Drosophila melanogaster: one gene and its partners. The protein of the gene in region 1 interacts with the protein of each later gene in a pairwise test. Each region holds a gene or a part of one and is shown on either strand. Other genes may lie near its edges. The genes, in order: Obp56a, Lcp65Ae, CG11409 and CG13494.

Region 1 (4,791 bases):
CAGCGTAATTAGTTTAAACAATTTTAAGTTGCTAGAGTTTTTTTTTTATTAATTAAAAGCTTTAATATTTTCTGATGTGTTTGAAAAGCTGAATACCATATTATAGGGCTCAATTTTGGGCTTAACTTTTTTCTAAATGTTTTTAACGGTTCCATAGCATAGTTTTGGGCAGATTGTTAAGTAAACTAATGTGTTGATTTGAATGTAAAAAGAAGAAAACGAATGTAAGCAATTTTATCATACTTAAAATAAGTAAGTAACCATTTCCCAATCATTAATACACTAATAAGAAGACCCATATTATGTTATTATATGCAGCTGTATGTCGAATAAAAATTGTTTGTAGAAACTAAGAAACACAAAAGCCATTTCACTTAAAACATAAGAATCAATCTTAAAAGAAGAAAATCTATTTCACGCACAATAAGTAAATAAATCCAAAGTCCAAACAAAGCTCACTGACCCGAATGATCATCTAGGCAGCGATGATTTAACGCCTACTGGTTAAAATGGGAAAATTGGATCTGAATTAAAAATAACCCAGTTTAAAATTGATAAATTTTATTAATTGAATTTTAATAAAATAATAACTTGATTGGCAAAATTAAGTCTGGAACTTAAGCATGTTACGCGTATTTAAGCCATATTATTGTGAACGAAATTCAGTTCGACAGTGAATGTAGCTTTGGAAAGATGAAACTTATCTACTTGTTGGTTGTATTCCTAATTTTCGCTCTAAGCGAACTAGTAGCGGTAAGTTGGATGAAACGTTGCTTTAGGGATAATTCATCATTTTATTCGCATTTTTAAAACAGGGCCAGTCAGCTGCGGAATTGGCAGCCTACAAGCAAATTCAACAGGCCTGCATCAAGGAGCTGAATATTGCTGCCAGTGATGCTAATTTGCTGACCACCGACAAGGAGGTGGCGAATCCCTCTGAGTCGGTGAAGTGCTATCACAGCTGCGTCTACAAGAAACTGGGTCTCCTGGGTGACGATGGAAAGCCCAATACTGATAAGATCGTTAAGTTGGCCCAGATCCGTTTCAGCAGTCTGCCGGTGGATAAGCTAAAGAGTTTGCTTACCAGCTGCGGAACCACAAAGTCAGCCGCCACCTGTGACTTTGTCTACAACTATGAAAAGTGTGTTGTTAAGGGTATTAGTGCCTAAAATTAAAACAATAAAGCAGTTTAAGTGTTCAATGCAGTCATACATTTAATTATGCAAATTGAAAACGCCGAATCACCTGACTTACACATGAATATGGATTATAATCAGCTTACGCGAAACAGGGCTTGAGAGCATCAATTAAGCTGTGGCAAATTTGCCACTCACCCTTCTGATTCAGAATGATGCACTTGTTCTATGATTGCATTGAATCAAAGTAAACTGGGTGATTTAATAATAACAAGGATTTAACGTATTGTTGCATTTCTATTAACCCAAACTCAAACAAACCAAGAAGACATATTAACACCTAATATGGAAAACAAAGCATAGTTTCATTGGACAAAGAATTTATTTAAATTTTGTTACATTTTTTCCCGAATCACAATTTGCCAAGCATTAAATCCCTAACTTCTTTAGGCCTTAGCCTCGGGGGCGGGCTTGAAGCTCTCGAAGCAATCGTACAACTTGGAGGCGGTATCACACTTGTTCTCGCCCTTGATGGTCCTGCACTTCTCCAGAGCCGCCTTGGTCTTCTCCTCGCCAATGAGAGCGCCGAGCTTCTCCAGCACCACTGACTCCTGCAGCTCACCGTCCTTCAGGGTTCCGACCTTCTCGAAGAAGCAGTTGGCAAAGCACTTGATGTTCTCGGTGGGGTTATTGAAGTCCTTGGCATTGACCTTGGCCTTTTCCTCCTCGGTAAGTTTCACTTCCTCGGCGCACTGCTCACGATGCTGCTTGGCCAGATCCTTCTGCTCGTCGCTCAGATTAAGGGACTAAGAAAATGATAATTTAAGGTTTTAATAACAAAAACATTTAGCCAAGTCGTTTACTTCATATATTCCAAACACACACCAAAGGCTCGAAGATTCAGACTTTATATTTACAGCCAAGTCAGGGTCTTCAGTGTAGATATATGCTTATAAATATTACATCTTATAGGGTTAGAGTCCAATAAAATATTTCAAGACTTTAAAACCCATATAATTCTATTGTTTAGTTTTCTCAAACTCACCGATCCAACAGCCAGAGTCACAAAAAGAGCACTCAAAGCGATCACGAAGTAGGAGTTCATGTTGAGAAATACTTTGACTTGTTAGAACGTTGGGGAAGTTCTGATGCCGACATGGGATGGGATCGCGGCTTTTATACCCGGCTTGGTTGCCAATAAAAGCCGGTTTCTCTTTATGGCCCCGGGCAGTGATCCAACTAAGCCCAGCTGATGGCTTTGCTTTTTGATTTTTGTTTTGGTTTTGGTTTTAGATTTCTGTTTGCTATCTTTCCCATTTCCTTTGGTCTAGCTGGGTTCTTTTTTTTTGCAATCTTGGCCAGTACTTTCGTCTATTTGTGGCCCGCGGCCAGGTAGACAATCTGAAGTTATGGTCGCTATGAAAGCATGGTTCATTAAACCGCCTTCTACCTGTCCAACCTGGGGAATCGAATCAATTATACAGATAGAACGCAGACATGGTACAGACAGGGACGGCTCAAGTGGTGTCCAGATCGTAGGTCGCTCAAGTTACTCCGTCTGGAGTTGGAGTTGAAATTGTGGCTGCTCACTCATTATCGCTACACTCTATCAAAAACTTTCCACTGCTGCCCCATACCAGGTGGCAGATCCCAAGCTAAAGGCACAATAACCAACCGACAACGCCCCAGTCGGATTCTGATTCAGATATATATCTATGTATCTGGGCGGAGAGGTGTGGCCAAGCGCGTATTGAAAGTTGAGAAGCGCAAGGAGACAGACGACGACGGCAAAGTTTTTTCATTTGAATCCTATTATTTCAGCGTAGTTGTAATCTTATTATCCACGAGATGACAGCAAAATGACATTTAGAAAATTTCACGCTGTGTGAAATGTACAAAAAGAAAATGCGGGAATGCAGGAAAGTCAGTGCGTGTGGGTGGTAATGCTGATGCTGAGACTCAGACTGAGGCTGATGGAATCGAGCCGGAGTCGGAGTCGGATCCAAAGTCGTGGCCGGGATCCGGAGTTTCTGATTGGGACTGCGTACTGTGGCCAAGACATCCCTTCTCCCTCGCAAAAACCTTCGTCTACATCTTTGAGTCGGGCGTGTTTTTCACAAGTTTTCCACTGACTTCTTCTGCTGTCGCTGCCTTCCTTTTAATTTCAATTCTGACATTTGTTTGTCTGCTGTCAAAATAAAGTAGCTTTGGCGCTAAAGAAATAAACCATAAGATTGCGATTGAAAATTTTCCAACGCACACGCAGACACCACAGCCCCCTCCACCATCCCAACATCCGCCCCCTGACCAACCAGTGGCTGAAAACTTTTCGCTCTGACGCAATAATAATAATAAACTAAAGCTTGTTTGACTTCTCCGCAAATGCTTTGAAATCCTTGTGTGGTAATCTTAATTCAATTTGCTTGTGGTGGGGACAGCCGACTTGAGTGATAAACTCTGGCGTTACACATGCAAAGATTGTTTGTTGGATGTAAGAAAAAAACCTGGCAATTTAATCTGAAAACTTTATAAAAATAATGATTTTGAAGGAGAGTAAAAGCATTTTAGGAATGTTAACAGGTGGCAATTAGTTTTTTGTTGGCTTTGTTTTGGACGTAAGCTTTGTATTAAGTCAGGAATTTTATAAAGGTTTAATTAAAAGAAATTACATTCGAACGTATTAGGTATTTGAGTTAAATACGTAAAATGCAAATAAAAGTGATGCTTTTCTACAAAAGGTTAAAGGTGCTCCCTTATGTGACCATTTAAATATCTAGACAAACAGGATTAATTTCTCAAAATTTGTACATTCTTTTTCAACTTTCGAATCATTAACAAGGCAAAAATGTAATATTTGTTCAAGCTTATTTCTAACGAACCAGAGCTGAGCTATGGATGGCTATCCCTATAGAGCACAAGGCAAAACCATGAAGAGCATAATCAGTCTACAAGCCCCCCGTCCAATGCCGCCAAATTTCAGCTAGAAATTAAGTACAATTTTCATTTTAAATTAAGCTGCCACGGCATCCCCGCAGAGCAGATCCTGCTCAGCTTTCGACGTCATTAATCACCACAGAACACAGCAGCAACAACAACATGCTGGCCAAAGAGCATTTGTCAGAGACTTTTGGGTTACTTTCTTCGGTGGGGTGAAGCATTTTCTAATCGCCCCCATGGAAAGTAAAAAAAAAAGAATGAGAGTTGGAAAAAGTTACGCCCAAGAATCAGCCCGTGTACACATGTCAGGGGGTTGGCTTAATATCCCCAACTATGAAAACTCCGGCCCGACGACGACCCACCTGTCTGAGTTCTATTTCTGTGAGAAAAATGGTCGCTAAATTTGCGTGAAAAGGCAAATAATTTGAAATTCCCAGGGGTTCTAAATAAGTAAATTTAAATTGCATTTGTATGCGTTCAAAAATTTGTGCCTTTCCCTTCTTTATTTTTGAGGGTCTGGGCGCTTGTGTGTTTTGGCCATAGCAAGTTTTTGTTTGCCACTGTTGCCGTTATAAATTTGCGTGTCAAAAGCGACGAGGTGAAGGTTTTCCGCTTAATTTTTTTTTTTTTTGATGTTTCGCATATGCGGAAGGAAGTTTTCCCCCAAAAACCCCCATGCCTGGCTTTCCGCCATGTCTATGTGTTTGGCCAAATGTTA
Region 2 (4,867 bases), on another chromosome or scaffold:
CAAATTTGTGGAAACTATGTACGATTCGAAATAAGTTATTTATTTTTCATAAATATTGACTTATTGCGAAATGATCACATTAAAAAGCCATTCTAAAAACTTCTTTAGGAGATGTTACAATTGTTAAATAATTTTTCCGAAACTAAAGTTTCAAAACGAACATATTCATGTATCTTTAATCAATCTGTTGAGGTTTTATTCATAATTGAAGGATTTTTCAGTAAAACAATATTAACGATGGATAGCTCAAACCACGGGGGCAACGGGCAGATGGGCACCCTGGGGCTGGTATCCGTTCTCGTCGGCGGTGTAGGCGATGGAGTAAGTCTGGCCATCATCGGCCACAAAGGAATAGGTACCCTTGACGTTGAGAGCCTCCTCATCAGTTCCAACGTTCTTCAGCTGTCCGGCGGCCTGAGCAGAGGATCCATCGCTGGTCTCGTAGCTAATCAAGAGCAAAGGGTAAGAAAACAAATCCTTGTCACATAGTTCACAAAACATACCCATAGTTAAAGCTTACAGGTCCGACATCGGACTCCTGCTTCAGAATCTGAACATCGGCGACAGCCAGGGCGAAGAGGGCGACGAAGACAATCAGGAACTTCATGTTGATTTTTGGCTTATGTGCTGATCTCGAAGAGTTCGATGCGAATGATATCGATTGACTTTGGGATGAACTCATTTATACATAAATTGTGAACAAGTCCAAGGTGCGGTGACGCTAATCTAATTCGCATACTGAGCATAAAATGCATGATATTGAGTTCAGTTTTGCTTTCAACTCAATGGTGAACGTTTTTGAGTGTTGCCATTTCAGCGCTTCAATTTTGATTACATTTTATCAAATTTGTTTGAGACTAGCTGTGGAAATTTAATATTCATAGATCTAGAGATCTAGAGAGATGTGGATGAATTTAAATTAACGATACATTTATTTATTTATTATATTATTTTTGAATGGGAAATGTAGACTTCTTTCAATGAAGTCCTTTTAAAAATAAAATTCTAATTAGTAAAAAATTCAAAAGAAATGGGAAAAAGTAGGCCAGGCATGTAACTTTATGTAGCAATAATTGCTCCAACAACTCGGATTTATTTGTTAGGTATAAGAAAATATTAATACAGTTTTTAAGCAAGCTTATTTCGTATACAAGATTTAAATAAAATTTATAAGTAAACTAAACTAAAACTAGATTAGGGTAGGCATTTTCCATTAATATAGGTGGAAATAGGGAATATGAAATCCCATTTTCTGGCATTCTAAATACGTGGCTCTTACTGCATATCAGAAAGTACAATTAAAATCGACTAACAATATATATAAAAAAATACTTAAGATATCGGTCCAATCATCAGATCGATCGATCTGATCTTTTGGGATGAGTACACGTTGTGCTATAAATATTTCATTTTTTAGAAGTTGACTTCTTGTGACCCAAATAGGAAATTGAAAAACAGATTCTTTTATATACATTCATTATTTTTTATTATTTAGTAGCTCTACAATTTTGACTTTTGACTTGGCCAAAACGGATTTAGGGCAGTTAAAGCAATATTAAAATCATGGTATTCCACTTCGAACCACTTAGGAGGCAACGGGAAGATGGGCACCCTGGGGCTGGAATCCGTTCTCATCGGCGATGTAGTTGACTTCGTAGGTCTGGCCATCATCGGCAACGAAGCGGAAGGATCCCTGGACAGCAAGGGACTCGTGGTCGGTGTTAGGGTACTTCAACTGTCCCTTAGCGTTAGCCGCCTGGCCATCGCTGGTCTCGAAGCTAATACGAAGGTCCAGAATCAGTTAGGCATTTTTATGAGGACCCTGTCAGTCTACTTACGACCACTGAAAGTTTTCGGGTCCAACATCGGATTCCAAGTTAATAATTTGCGCTTCGTTAGCCAAAGCAAAAGCGAAGATTGCTACAAAGACGATCAGGAATTTCATGTTGAATTTGGGCTGGTTTGGAGATCTCGAAGAGTTCGATGCGAATGATATCGACGGAGTGCAGGATGAACACTTTTATATTTGACTTGCAATCTAATCCACGACACTGTCAAACCTAAAATCTTGCATATCTCATTAAATGGACTCGCATTTTGGAAATCGCAAAACTATAATGGGATGCTTCATCGGGTTTTTCGAATTAATGTCCCTGCACATACATTTCGCATCGTATCAAGCTGGAATGACATGAAATAAATAGTCGTCAGGCAAGATAGTTCTACTAATTGGCTAGTTCACCACTAACAATGGCCATAAAATTAAACAATTCTTAGACAAATTCAAATGTGTAGCACTTCTTATTGTTCAACTTCATTTTCACATCCCTTCCTAATATAACAATCGGAAAATAGCAATGAGTTCAGTTCGATCGATTCGCATACGTATATTTAGAACTTCATTGAGCATACCAGCCAATAGTTCTGTACATCAACGACAATAAGTATGTAAATCAAGTGTGTTCAACTTAAAATTGGGCATGGAAACTACGTCAGCGCTCTGTTAGCTTAAAGATCGATCAATGCGTCCAATCGTTTCATTCCAAAACTAGTTTGATCATTGTAGCTTTTTATTTCATGCATATTAATTTGGCCGTTTGGCTCTCTGTGCGCTGTATGTTGTTTTTGGAAGGTATCTTCCAAATTTCATTAGCATCGCATGAAATTTAAATCAACGCCTGAAATTAACCTTCAAAACTTCGTTTTCATTTGTGGCCAGATCCCTCGCACATTTTTCAATATGCGCCACTTTAATTATGTATTAATTACAAAGACAACAAAAACCCAAACATGTTTGGCTGTGCCAAAAATTTGCAAGTTTCTGCCAACCGAAGGCCGTCCAGGCAAAGTCGCCAGACGAGACGAGCCAAGACGAGACACACACCGCATTTCGACGTTCAACGTTGCGTATGGAAAATGTGAAGAGAACAGGCACCCTGTTCTTCCATCTCTTGCGTCATACTTTTCTTTTCATTGATATAGCCCTACCATAAATATTAAATTTAGCATAGGGAACGTCTTTTGATCCGGGTTGAACGGACGATCTAACTCATTTCACTTTATGATCGCAAAAAATCCAAACAGACTAGCTGAAGACTGGCATTTGATTGTGATAATTTAATAATCAAACAATACGATTCAGCTATTTATGTATTGATATCGACTATGTTATTATAATGAAATATGATCATTGGAGCAAACATTAAAATACTTTAGAACCCTGATATTTTTACAATATAAAGAAATACTGCTTTCGATACTGACTACACAAAGAGGAAATACTTAGTTGTGGGGCAGATGATCGCCCTGGGGCTGGAAACCGTTCTCATCCGCAATGTAGTGCAGGGTGTAGGTCTGGCCATCGGGAGCAACCCAGCTGACGGAACCGCGCACACTGAGCGCCTCCTGGTCGGTACCGGCGTTCTTCACCTCAGCCTGCTCCTGGCGGGTAACTCCATCACTGGTCTCGTAGCTGAAATCAAGATAGTTAACTCTTTTGAATGGGTTCTTCTTTTCGAAAGGCGAGAGTACACAAAAGTTTCAATCCTTGGAAATATCCCGTGCATTGTCCTTGCTACTCACCCGAAGTTGTAGCCATCAGTGCCAATGTTGTCGTTGTCGTATCTTAGTATGGTGGCATGTTGGGAGTCGTCCAGAGGAGCAGCCCTAATGGTGGAGAGCAGAGCGAAGGCGCAAATGGCCAGGACACAGATGCTGGAGGACTGCATGTTTAGTTGGATTGGATTCTGGTAGAGACTTTTCAAAAGGTCCTGGCTAAGTTTGGTTTTTAGTGCACGCTCCGGTAGTTATCACAATTAGGCACTAACGAGTAATGTGGCTAACTGTAATGAGTGTTGAGCTATTTATAACTGGCCGGGCCAAAACTCCAAGTGCTGCGAGTCCAACACACACACTCATTTACACACACTTATGTGATCCGTAAAGTTTAGGTGGCCCATAACAAACACCTCAAATGCTAACACAATTATCTACCCATACGCATATAATTGAAGGCAACTGTATGGCAGCGTGAGTAGCTTAAGCTTTTAATTGAACAAGCCAAAAAAATAATTTAAAGACCATTAAGCGTTTGATGTGCGCTCGAATCTCATCTCAATTGCCACGCCACGGGAGCTGAAAGTTAAATCGGAGCTGAAGATGATGGAGCAAGTGATAATGAAATGTTTGGGCCCCCCAACAAAAAACAAATATTTGGTCAATGCGCGTGTTTGCCTACAAGTAGACAAGCAGGCATATATACATTTGGATCTATGGCAATAGGTCAATGGCTATGTTTGCACTTATCAACAAATTGTGATGAAAAAGATTATCGAAGATGAAACAAAGCAAAATGGGTTGGAAATTAAATCCCCAAGAGAAGTGAGCAGTGAGGAAGTGAATAAAACTCAACCACTTAAAATATGTTTAGGAAACTAAGCAAAGAACGGGAAGAAGAATTCAATTCATGGAATCTAGGAATTCCCATGATCTTGAGATTTAATTGCCATCATATAAACACTTAATCTCCGCTTTTTCAGCTGATATTTCCTCATAAATGTAATTCTTGAATTATCCGACTGCAAAGCTGCAAATTTTTTTTGGGGAATATTGAAGCATTTCCGCCCTGACGTCTGTTAACTGCTGACACAATTTCCGATTAAGACAGGGCGATTTAACCTCCAAAAATCTTGAAACGAATCGAATCGAAAAGAAACGAAAACCTCCACCGCCATTGCTTGTCAGCTGCATTTGCTGTTTAAGTGAAGATGCGGCACGAGAGATTCAAGATTACGCGGCTCATCATCGTCGTTTCCATCTCCATAGTCAGCAGCCCGAGTGTTGGTTGATGACCTTAGTCAATAAAATA
Region 3 (6,509 bases), on another chromosome or scaffold:
GTATACCTCGAGGCTCGAGGAGCCATTGGTGAGCTTTGATGGCAATTTCATCCATAGTTAACAACACATAATTGTTCCGTAACACACATATCGAGCATCGATTACATGCAACCCGATTTATAACTTATTGCAAGGGAAAGATGCCCCAGACATCCTACCTCTATGGCCTTGGTGACCAGCGTGGTGCCGATTTTGAGCTTGCGATACTCCTTGCGCACGGCCAGCATGGCGATGTAGCCGCGCCGCACGTTCATGTGCATATCCAGCTTGCACACGATGGCGCCCACGTACTGATTGTCGTGCGAGGCGAGGAAGCAGAGTTTTGGCCAATTGTAGATGAAGTAGCGATACGTGTATATCGAGTACGGCTCGGACAGCTCCGCCTGGATCAGTCGCATGATGTCCTGCGTGTTCGATATGCGGGGAATTAGATAAGTGTTGCGCACAGTTCGCACTTGGTCATACTTGGAGGTACTCACATGCATTTGGTGTTCAGCCTCGTATTCCTTATATACGATCTCGTCGGCTGAAATGGCAGGTTCCGGCAGTTGGAGCTGTGCTGTAATGGTGGGCGTGGCCCCCTCTGCATAGTCGGAGGGCGGTTGCTTCCTCTCCTGCTCCCGACTGTGGCCACTCCCCGTCGCCACATGCACTCCCTGTTCCACAGCTACATCCTCCGACACTTTTGGTTTTGGGTCCGTCGTTGTGGTTGGGTGTATGTTGGCAGTGGTTTTGCTTGTGGCTGTTATGGGCTTCTCCTCCGGTTTGAGGGAGTTCGAATCCGATCCTCCGCCGTCGCCTCCTTCTCTTCGCTGCTTGCGGTTGTTGTTGCTGCTGTCCACGCTGTTGTTGTTGTGAGTGCTGTTGTTGTTGTTGCTGCTGCCGCTTGTGCAGCGAATGTGATTGTTGTTGCTGTGCCCATGTGCATGGCCATTGACGACCTCCCCAAGCGGCCGAGCCTCCTGCTCCTTGTGACCATGGCCATTGCAAAGGTGCATCTTTTTAAGCAGGCCTCTGAGTTCCTGCGCTGGCTCCTGGTCTTCCGTCGCCTCCTCCTCTTGGTGCTGAACGTGTCCATTGCTGGGTGTCTGTGCCTCCACCTGGCCACTGGAATTTGGATTGTGATTGGGGTTCTTCTCCGCTGAGTTCTTTTTGTTCTTGTACTTCTTCTTTCCGGCCGCCGCTGCCTGGGCATCCGCCATTCTGAAAAGCGACGGAATTGGCTCTAAGAGGGAACCTGCTGCTCCTCCGGGGCTTATCTGGGAGGACTGGTAATCCTCGCCTGCAACCGTGTGCCTCGGACTTATTTTTGGTTATATTTTCACAGTTGATGGTTTTTCATTCACACGCACACGCACACGCTCACGCACATACTCACACACTCGCGCACGCACACATGGGGCAGTCGGCCGTCCTCTTTGTTGTGCTTCCGATATTCGGAGTTCCGGATCGATCAATCCGATCTCGATTTGTGGCGCTAGTGCGTGTGCATGGCAAACTTATGTAAAATCCTATATCCGCAAAACTCGTAATTTTCCTTGCTATGAATAAATCCCACCCACACATATGCGCGAACAGCTGTAACAGCAATCGATTGGCACTCGATACTATCGATACAATCATCGCCGGCCAACTGTGACTATCGGCTATCGAATTATCAATTGATATTATTACTATTAAATTAACAGCTAAGATTAATGAAAATATTTAAAAATTATATTAAATAAAATCTAAAACTACGTTGATTTTATCAAATTTATATTTGGCATGCACCTTACATCGCAAATGTTCATATATTTGATATTTGATTAGATTTGATCTTTGTAATATTATTACAATCTTTAAACGTAATATTCTCATACCTATATTCTTTATAGCTGCCATTTAATTTCTGACTTTGGAATGTTAACTTATTTGTATTTGCAATACTTTTGCCAAATTAGATCGTCAGCTTGTGCCTTTTTGCGAGGGTGTGCTGTACATAACGGAAAAGAGGATCAATAATAAGAAGAAGAAGCTGCTCATTTCAAAGTTCTCTTCTTGTTCTTCCTTTTCTTCTTAAAGAAGAAGCAACTATTTTACGGCGTAAAGATTTTTGATTTACGGGACTTTTGTTTGAAAAAAGTGCTGCAAATCAGTTTGAAGTGTTAGTTATAATTAAGTGCATGTCGTGGCAATGAGTAGCATCGAAATGTTACCCGAAAACGGATGGAAGTCCAATAAATTGCTCGAAACGTATGTTCACTTACACTCGCCATTTAAAAGTATACGTGTGTGTGTTTGTGTGTACGTGCGTGTTTTCTCCTGCGCTTATTTTTTTGTCTCTTTTGTTTTGTGATTTCCAAACTATTAAAAACGTTCTTCAATTGGTAAGTTACTAGTTAAATTCAGTTGTACTAATTAATAACTCTGCAGTGCGACCTTCGCCTACTTTTGGTTTCCTTTTCGCGCCATTAGCATTCGCCATAAAATAAAATCCATAAATTACAGCTAAATCAAATGCAATAAAACCAAATTACAATCTCGAATCATATAAGTCACATAAGTCACTAATCCGCAGTTTCCTGAGATCTGCACTTCCTCCACTTTCCTTGCCGTTTGTCTTGGTTGAGAACGCAGGATTATTCGGAACTTGCAAAGGTTTCGAGTCAAATGAAAATATAACCCCTGATTTTACAATGTATGTACATATGTATGTGGTAACTGCCAGGAGAAATCCGCCTGCCGTTTGCTGTCAATTTTGTGGATTTTTAACGACGGCAATCAGTCGACTGTTTTAGCGTTATAGCCCGTCGCTTTGATGGGGACTCCAGCTCCTCCCAACGTCATAATCGAAAGACTTGGGTAACGAACGAACTCGGCATGGCCGATGTCGTTGCCTCTCAGTTGGGCTGGCTGCCCCCAGAACTGGGACTACATCAGCACTAGCTGGTGACGAAATCGGCTGGGGAGGCCAGGCGGTCTCGATCTTCGATCTGCTTTCGGACCAGCATAGCCTACTTTGCATACGGAATTGGACTTGAATTTGATTGACTGAAATTGAATAATCCGAGCCACGCGATTGGATAATTTCTTGAAATTTTGCATACGAACTTGCAAGCGCAAGTTGGCGTCCGTTTTTCTGGACGTCTGTTTCACTTTTCGCTGTTGCTGCAGTGACGCGGGCAAATCCAAAATTAGCAAAGCAAACAACATACGGAGAAAGTGAATGGCCGAATAAAGTAAAAGCAGTGGCGGAGAAAGGGTAACGAAGAAAGGGGAGAGAGCGGGAGCGGACAGGTGCCGCAGCCAACGCCTTATCACCTTGCTGGCGGAGATCTCTAAAAGATAGAGATACAATTTAGCACTTAGCACCCACGTGACGAAATGATATATGCAGTTTGGCCACAATGGCATGGACTTCTTGTTTTAAACTATATTTTTTGTGTCGGTTGATCATGGTAACTGGCGGCTCCCCAGCCAACGGACATAGCATTGTCAGTTGGTTCGTCAGTGAAGTTGGTTCTATAAGTCAAGAGCTACGTATGCTAAGGCCACCTAAGGGTATTAGGGTATTTGGCCTGCGACCTGGGTATTTGACCAATTTTATTTTGCACATCCACGGCGCATTAAAGCAATTCACTTTTTGCGCGATGCTCCATAGCTCCATAGTTCCATAGCTCCAAGCCGAGCCCCACTCCATTCTCCCGAGCATTTGGCCGTGTCATGTCAAGAGTTATGGGCTTCGTAATTTTTCTGAGTTTTCGTTTATATATTTTTGGTTGTTTTAGTTCGGTTTCCTTTGGGGCTTTGTTGTTTGCCGTGTCGCAATGCTGCGAGTGTGCGCAAATGGCAAAGTCAAAGCGCATGCGCTCCAAATGTGAAGCACCTGGCCAAACCCTACCCCTAGTTCCACCTATGTACCTTACCCATCCCAAAACAACTTAAGTGAAGCATAAGGCATGCGGCTCGAGCTGAGCTAAGCAAACTAAAACCGCAGACGAATGTGTCGCGTCAGCGTTAAATTGTGTCAAATGTTGTCACACACAAAAAAGCAGCCTCAGCCTCCCTTTTTTGCGGCGAGGCGGTAAACACCGTTGTGTGCAAATGGCAAATGTTACAAATAACCAAAAATCGTTTTAATTATTTCGAGCAAAACGTGCCAAGCGCAAAATGAGCCCAACGTTTGTGGCCTGTGTGTGGCCCTATTGAGAAACTAGGTTTAACTGCGTCTTTAAATTTGTAGCAGTAATCGTAAGATAAGACAGAACTCTCATGTTTTGCAAACCCAATGGATTTTCCCGGCCGGTCCACTTGAAGTCCGGAGGGATCAGAGCGATCGAGTGGCAGCGATGGGAAGCACTGGAGCCCGAGTTCATTGAGGCCCATCGACGGTCTTCGATCGTTGAACGGCTATATACAGACCATGGCTGGCCGCGCTCCTTGTGCGTGAGTTTTATTATGCAAGCGGAGCGGAGCAGAGCAGAGACCACATGGTAATAAAAACCAAACCAATATTAGTCCGCTACATTGCGGGGCGCAGCAGCAGAAAGCCAGAGAAAACCGAACCAATCGAATTTGTCAATGGGGGAAAGAAGCTGGCCGAAGTGAAATGCCCGTGCGCTAGCAGAAACCCGTCTGCATCCACGGCAGAGTGCTGTTTACCTGTTCACCTTCCCTGGCCAGAGCCATGCTCCGTCTTATCATCGTTCGCAGTGTACTTGGTCAAGGCAAGCCAGCCACTTTTAACCGGCGATCAACCGATTTGATGGGAGCTGGGCGATCAGCGGTTACCACGACCGGCCTCGCGTCGCGATCGTAATCCCTCCCAAAAATGTCTTCTAAGCCAAATCGATTTTTAATTGAGACTTCGGCGCCAGAGCGCTGCACCCTGCGTTGCCCAGGGCAGTACTTAAAGAACCAGCCAACTAGCAATCTGCTATCGCTATGTCATGCCAATCATTCGAGATGAGGCCTCGTTATTATTAGGTGCTAAAATCGTTCAATCTGCAGCAAAATAGTTTAACTCAATGCAAGCTTGAGCCGTATGGTTACTATTTCAAATGTTATTGCAGTACATATAACAGTCTAGTATAGTACGAGTGTCGGCACATGACGTGCATTAACATGCCTTTTTAAATTGCTTTGTGTTAAGTGTGTTTTTACAATGAACCAATTTATGTAATGGCTCCAAGCGAGCCTAATAGATGGTATCGTATATGTGAGGCCAGCAAGTTGGAGCACCGAATCTAGGCTACGAAATGTAAGTTTATGCCATGCATTTCAAATGGGATTAAATGGATGCATCTAATCAAAGCACTCAGCATCCAGTGTTTTCTAGCCCCGACTTCTAAAGAGCCAGATCGCCGCAGCAAAAGCGGTAGTAGCAGCATAAGCCGCAGCAGCAGCACCAGCAGCTGCGGCGGCAGCAGCAGCAGCAGCAGCAGCAGCAGCAGCAGCGAAGTTGGCCAAGACGACTTTCGGCCGGGTTCAGTACGCTGCGAACGCTCATTGAAAATGGTCTGCAGGCCGCGCATGCGATTGAGACCGAAAACGAAACAAAACCGAGTCCGCTATCTATCTATATCGATACCGACACAGAAGCCAAGCGACAGTCGCGTGTTCGCGTTTTGCTTCGATTTAATTTCGGTTTTTCCTTCCTCGATTTTTTTTAACAGTGTGGTGTGCTGTGCTCCGTGTGCATTGAAAGTTTGACGCCTCTGAAGTTGTGAAAAAGCGTCTCGATTCGATTTAAATTTGGATTTTTAGGAGTGCGCGGCGAACGTGAGCGAGCGAGCGGCAGAAAATTTAAAATGTAATTGAAAATAGTTGGCTACTGCTGGTCCGCTGGTGACAGACAGGTTATTGGTCTTGCACAGGTGGTGCAAGCAACAAACAAAAGACTTAGGCAACGAACTCACGATCCACGATTCGAATAGGCTGCACCGCAGCAACGACCTTGGCACAAGGGCACTGCAAAGGGGATTTCAATTGCATGTGCAACGAATGGGATCAAATAGGATCTAATGGCTGTCATTAAGACATGAACTGTCTGGTTACGCATAATGTACCCTATAGCTTCTACCAGGCAGTTCATAGTATTCAGTTTAGAAGTAGATGTAGGATTTAAGGAAGCTTAGCACAAATGTCTAGAGCTAGACAAAAAGCAATTACTCGTAATATGCTCTAATTAAATTGCATAGCCCATACCCAAATAGAAATAAGACACTGCGCAACGAGGGGCAGTCCAAGAAGGGGAATAATGAAATAACTGGTGGTAAAATAATGCCAACGAAAAAAAAAAAGACAACATAATTGCAGCGACACTTTTCATAACTATTATAGCAGCTGAAAAGCAATTCAAAAATTAAGCGAAGGCATGTAAAGTGCTTTAATATTTATTATTACTGTCGTTGTTTTTTCGGCAATCCGCTGGTGAAAGTATTCATAAAAAGGGAAACAACAGGCCACCGAGCCAAACAACTTGACAAACAAAGTGAAGAGGGGCAGCGAACGAACAATAATAAAAA
Region 4 (4,857 bases), 2.3 Mb from region 1:
CGGCGGCCCGGGTGAACGAATTGTTAGGCAATACGATATGCCGTTTAGTGATAAGAAGAGTTATAAACATTATTTATGGGTGGGTGGAGCAAGAGAATGTTTGTGGTTTAAATATAACCGGCCATGACCTTGAGGTATTATCAATGAAAGCAATATAAGAACGAAGTTTGAATTTGCATTAAGAATGTATTTTAGTAATATTTATTATTGCTATGTTAAGCAGTTCCTTGGCTAGAAAGTGGATGTTCTTTATAAAAGAAAACGTATTCATAGCATTTGTAAATTGAACATGTACCAACGCCTGGCAGTAAGAAAGTGCATCGAAGCTATTATCCTTTTGTGTCCTTGCACTTACTCCCCCTCGATAAATGCAATTTTAGCACAGCACGTCCCCTTCCTCATCACTCGGATCATGTATGAGGGCATTGTTTAATGCACTTCACAGCTGGAGGAAACTTTTTCCAGGCCCTGTGTCGACGGCAATGAAAACTTTGTCATGCCTGGCAAAGAGGATGATAAACTTGGGTAAAAATTATGAAACTGAATATGGAAGCGTTGGCGAAATTGAGACAGCAAAACAACAGAGCCAACAGACAGGCAAAAGACATACGAGACTTTTAGCCAAGCGAGGACTAAAACTGAAACTAAAACTGATACTTTTTATGGATGGCAAGTGAAAAATGTAGACAGTTGCAGAACGACTTTCCGGGCGGGGGCCAAAGGCAGGAGGTGAACGGGATTTGCTGGGATGAAAGAAAAATGGCAACTGCATTTCCTGTCTGAGAGCTGACAAAGTGCTGAGTGCATTTACGACTTGGACTTGGGCGAGTGTTTTGTGTCTTTCCTGCAGCTGCAGGAGATGCCAGGAATTTATGCACTCAGTCCATAGTCCACAGTCCGCAGAGAAAGCTCTGGAAATTCCTGACCTGAGGCATTTTCTGTAGGGCCTGGGCTATTTTCTTTGGGCCATCTGATAATCGGCCCCAGCTGTGGCTAATCGGTTTACATTTGTCACACTGGCACTTTGGCCAAGGATTCTCTACTGGTAGATGCCACTTGTCCAGGAATCTGGTAAGTCCTGACGTTTCTCCTTAGAATTATGTTTGGTTAATGTTATATTGAACTTCAGTACATCCTTTTCCAATTACTCTGCCGTAATTTGGCAGGACCGCATTAATTTGTCGGCAAAATAATTCCTTTGGACTTCGATTCATACAAAACATATAATTTTATTAGCACAAGTTTCAGTTTTAATGACAGAATTTCAACGACAGTCAGGGTTCCCTTCCTATAAACTCGTCGCCTCGGCGTCTACAGCGAAAACAGAGAAAGGACTTCATACAACCAAAAAGGACGAGAACACCCATACAAGCACAGCAGGCAGCAATGATAAGAAAAATTACGACGAATATGAACAAAAGTCCCCAAGCACCTAGGTTAGTATCCGGGTGTCCAGTGGTTGTACGGTACGCCACAGTTGTCATGTTAAAGTCTATATATTCAATATCGTATTCAGATAGGGTTGTAGCATCCAACTCGGCCATAGCTTATGGGAAATAAATTGCAAATTTTGTTGCTTTCGATAATAGATTGAACCCTCTAAATGGAAGGAAATATGTATAAGGAAAATCACATTAAATTAACGAATGCTTCTCACCGTTCCTTGCATAGCAGCTTAAGAATTTCGATGACCCTGACCCTTCAGAAATTTTATTTTGGGTATAGATTTTTTTTTAATTTTAAGAGTACAGTCGCAGCTTACTGAAGTCGATATTTTTTTGTACTTTAAATTTGATTTTTGGTTGCCATATATTAAGTTAATAGATATCATTTCAAAATTAAGCTAGATTTTTTTATTTTTTATGAATAGACAACAATTTTGCCAATGAGCATACGGATGCTCCTAACGAATCTGTACCTGAGCACATTAAATTTATAGGCTTTCGAATCGCATATCCTAGCACTACGTACATATTAATAGAAACTTGAATTATCGCCGAATTAATCATCGTCCAAGGTGCAGTCCCCACAGCCGTCGCCACAATCGCCACACCCGCCGCCATCGCCGCAACATCCACCGCCGTCATCGCCGCAACATCCACCGCCGCCGCCTTCACCACAACATCCTTCGTCGCAAGCGAGGCACGCGGAGCAGGCGAGTCCGCAACAGCCGCACAGGCAGAGGAGCGGCAGGCAGATGATGAGCAGGCAGCAGAGGAGCACCATAACAACGATCAGGACAATAATACCGACAGCCATGCTACCCGCCTTGGCGGCCTCTGTAGTGGTGGTGGTGGCGATCGTGGTGCTCCATGAGGATGTTTCCGTCATCCCGCCTTCTACCGTTGATAATGTGTCATCCATGATTAATCACTTGTTGACGGTATTGAAATGTTTAACGTTTAGCTTATTGTAAATTAGAATAAATTACAAAAATTCAGACAGCAAAGTTGAGTGTGTATTCAAAGACTCCTTCAGCACAATTTTCATATGTGCCCACTTTCAATTTAGCATCATATTTGGTTTTAAATATATTCAAGTTCCCCATCTACGAAAGACAAAAGCAAAGAAGCTTATGGGCATAGGTGCATTCGTCACGCTTCCACACGAAGCGACTTCTAACGATCAATCGCACTTAAAATCCTTTCCACAAAAGTACTCATTAAACCCACGAACACACCACCCGTCATACAATGCCCATTCGAATTGTATAATAATTAATGAAATGCATTAACGAAAGCATTTTGCGGGTGGAACTGGGATTGGGTTGGCAGAGAGGGGTGGTCCTCGAACGGGGATCTGGGGAGCTGTCCCTGAGCTCCTGTGTGTACCTGCGCTCGTTAGCGCTCCAAACACCCACTCTGCGAAACACCCCCACTTTAACTCATATGCAAAAAACACACCCTCGCCTCACGCCATCATTATCATAATTTGAATGTGATGCGAGCTTTAAAATATTCATGCGAGTAGAAAGATTTTTTTCAAGTGTGCGCACGTGTGCGCCTGGGTTCGTTATAGGGAGCTGTTTACTGTACCAAGAGGTCGTTGATTATAATGACTGTATTTTGTGCGCTGATTACTCCACAGAGAAAATTAAGAAAATGAGTCAACAACTTAATGCAAAAAACAAAAGGAAGCTCTTCGATAAACAGCGAAATGAATATATATTTTTTCAGATATCTATCTGTTTCGTGCATAATAAATATAAACTGCGTTGGACTTCAACCATAATTAAACACTGAACATTGTGTTAAGTAACTAAAGGTTGATCAAACAACTCCTGATAATATACTCACCGGGAAAGTAAAAATCCACTTCTCGTTCTGAATCACAAATCAGTGATTGCAATTGGGAACTATTAGACACGTTTGTCGGCCAATTGGCGGTGGCAGCATTGAAAGCTCATTCAATTCACTGCCTCACACTGACACCCACACTCAGACATGCATTCACCCACACCTGCAAACTCACTCACACACACACACACATACACACCTTTAACATATAGCATCATGGCACACGTGGCTGCATGTCAAAGTGCAAAGTTTTGTGCCACAAAAAACAAGCTGCGAGGGGTGGCAATGTGGGTAATGGCAGTCAAAAGCGCCGCTTGTCGATGTTTTCTGAAAAAAGAAGGAATGAAATCGTAGGGGAAAGCAGAAAAAAGTTACGTTTTTCACGGCGTTGTTGCTGGCAACCCTTTTAGCTCTGGCAATTTAAACTCGCCCGCTCCAAAGTTGCCCACTTGCCATATCCTGTCGCAGGCGTTGTCCTTGTTGTTGCTGCGGTTGGTGCCTCCGTGTAGTTGCCGCATCCCTCGAACGGCTGAGGATCCTCAGGGGGTTAAGAGCTTTTGGCTGCGGGCTGAGGGGTAACTGCGTGGCATGCAATGCGCGATTGCACAAAGTCAACTTGCACATTAGAATTCGACGAAGGATGAGTTGCAGGGCAACGCGTTGAAAGGCGGAAGGACTAGGCTCATCTGTCTGCGATTCCATCTCGGGGTAAAACTGAATACTAAACAGGCGTCTTCACTACACTAAATATATTTTCAGAAACTATTTAAATCTAAGAAATGGATTTATAGCAAGTTAAGGCTATCTTTCCACTTGAATAGATGCGAATGTAAAGAAAATCATCTTCCGGCAAATATGACTTCCTAGTCGAAAAGTCCCAAATGGTCAGATATCCGTCCCCAATGAAAATCGTACGCAGCTGAATTTATGTGTATTCCCAACCAATCATCATCATCATCAGGAACAAACGCAATGGCAATGATCATGTTCGTATCCTGCCATCATCGCATTCATTGGCACTCAACGGGGGCAGCGAATCGCAATCGTAAACTTGATTGTAATAGTATAATTTTTGGCGTAAAAGCCAAACAAATAAACAAGACAAGCACTTGGATTCCCGGCGTATCCCATCCGGCAGATAATCCCCGCACATATGAGTCGGTGGATGAGGCGGCCGAATTTGCCGGCCCCATTTTCATGCAATTTTTATGACTTGGCTCTGTGCGCTGTTCTTTATTTTTTTTTTTGGGGGGGGGGGGCGAATCGAGAGCATCTTACTCATAATCCGCCCCAATGGACCTTTCTCTGCAGGTCTGCAAAACCATTTACTTTTCCCCGGCCAGAAGCTTGGATTTCCCTCGATTTCTCTTATTTTTGCCCTGCTTACCACGTCACGCATCCTGCGAAAAGTTATTGTTATCCTTTTGTTTTAGTGCGCATCTTTTATACTCGTTTCATTTTTTTCTCCTGTTCTTATTGCCTTGGCCGGCCCTTTCGCATTGATTCATAATACATAAATATAAATATTGCGTATACGCAGCGTTTCGCTCGCCCTCGATTG

What was found.
Region 2: the proteins of Obp56a (region 1) and Lcp65Ae interact in a two-hybrid assay, tested with the Drosophila melanogaster proteins (one large-scale study listed by BioGRID).
Region 3: the proteins of Obp56a (region 1) and CG11409 interact in a two-hybrid assay, tested with the Drosophila melanogaster proteins (one large-scale study listed by BioGRID).
Region 4: the proteins of Obp56a (region 1) and CG13494 interact in a two-hybrid assay, tested with the Drosophila melanogaster proteins (one large-scale study listed by BioGRID).

The regions. Positions count from the first base shown.
Region 1 is NT_033778.4:19,695,220-19,700,010, reverse strand, and holds Obp56a (Odorant-binding protein 56a), read right to left. Parts: upstream 2,289-4,791; 5' UTR 2,242-2,288; coding exon 2,182-2,241; intron 1,943-2,181; coding exon 1,583-1,942; 3' UTR 1,503-1,582; downstream 1-1,502. Other genes in the region: Obp56b (Odorant-binding protein 56b), read left to right, coding at 694-753, 816-1,169. UniProt on the Drosophila melanogaster protein: Present in the aqueous fluid surrounding olfactory sensory dendrites and are thought to aid in the capture and transport of hydrophobic odorants into and through this fluid.
Region 2 is NT_037436.4:6,136,134-6,141,000, forward strand, and holds Lcp65Ae (Lcp65Ae), read right to left. Parts: upstream 1,986-4,867; 5' UTR 1,946-1,985; coding exon 1,839-1,945; intron 1,779-1,838; coding exon 1,586-1,778; 3' UTR 1,450-1,585; downstream 1-1,449. Other genes in the region: Lcp65Af, read right to left, coding at 247-445, 504-607; Cpr65Av (cuticular protein 65Av), read right to left, coding at 3,283-3,472, 3,583-3,728.
Region 3 is NC_004354.4:1,337,185-1,343,693, reverse strand, and holds the start of CG11409 (uncharacterized protein), read left to right. Parts: upstream 1-2,106; 5' UTR 2,107-2,369; intron 2,370-5,471; exon of another isoform or gene 5,472-5,794; intron 5,795-6,509. Other genes in the region: Naa30A (N(alpha)-acetyltransferase 30 A), read right to left, coding at 159-404, 480-1,202.
Region 4 is NT_033778.4:21,952,409-21,957,265, forward strand, and holds CG13494 (uncharacterized protein), read right to left. Parts: upstream 2,438-4,857; 5' UTR 2,365-2,437; coding exon 2,002-2,364; 3' UTR 1,834-2,001; downstream 1-1,833. Other genes in the region: CG43405 (uncharacterized protein), read right to left, coding at 1,275-1,544.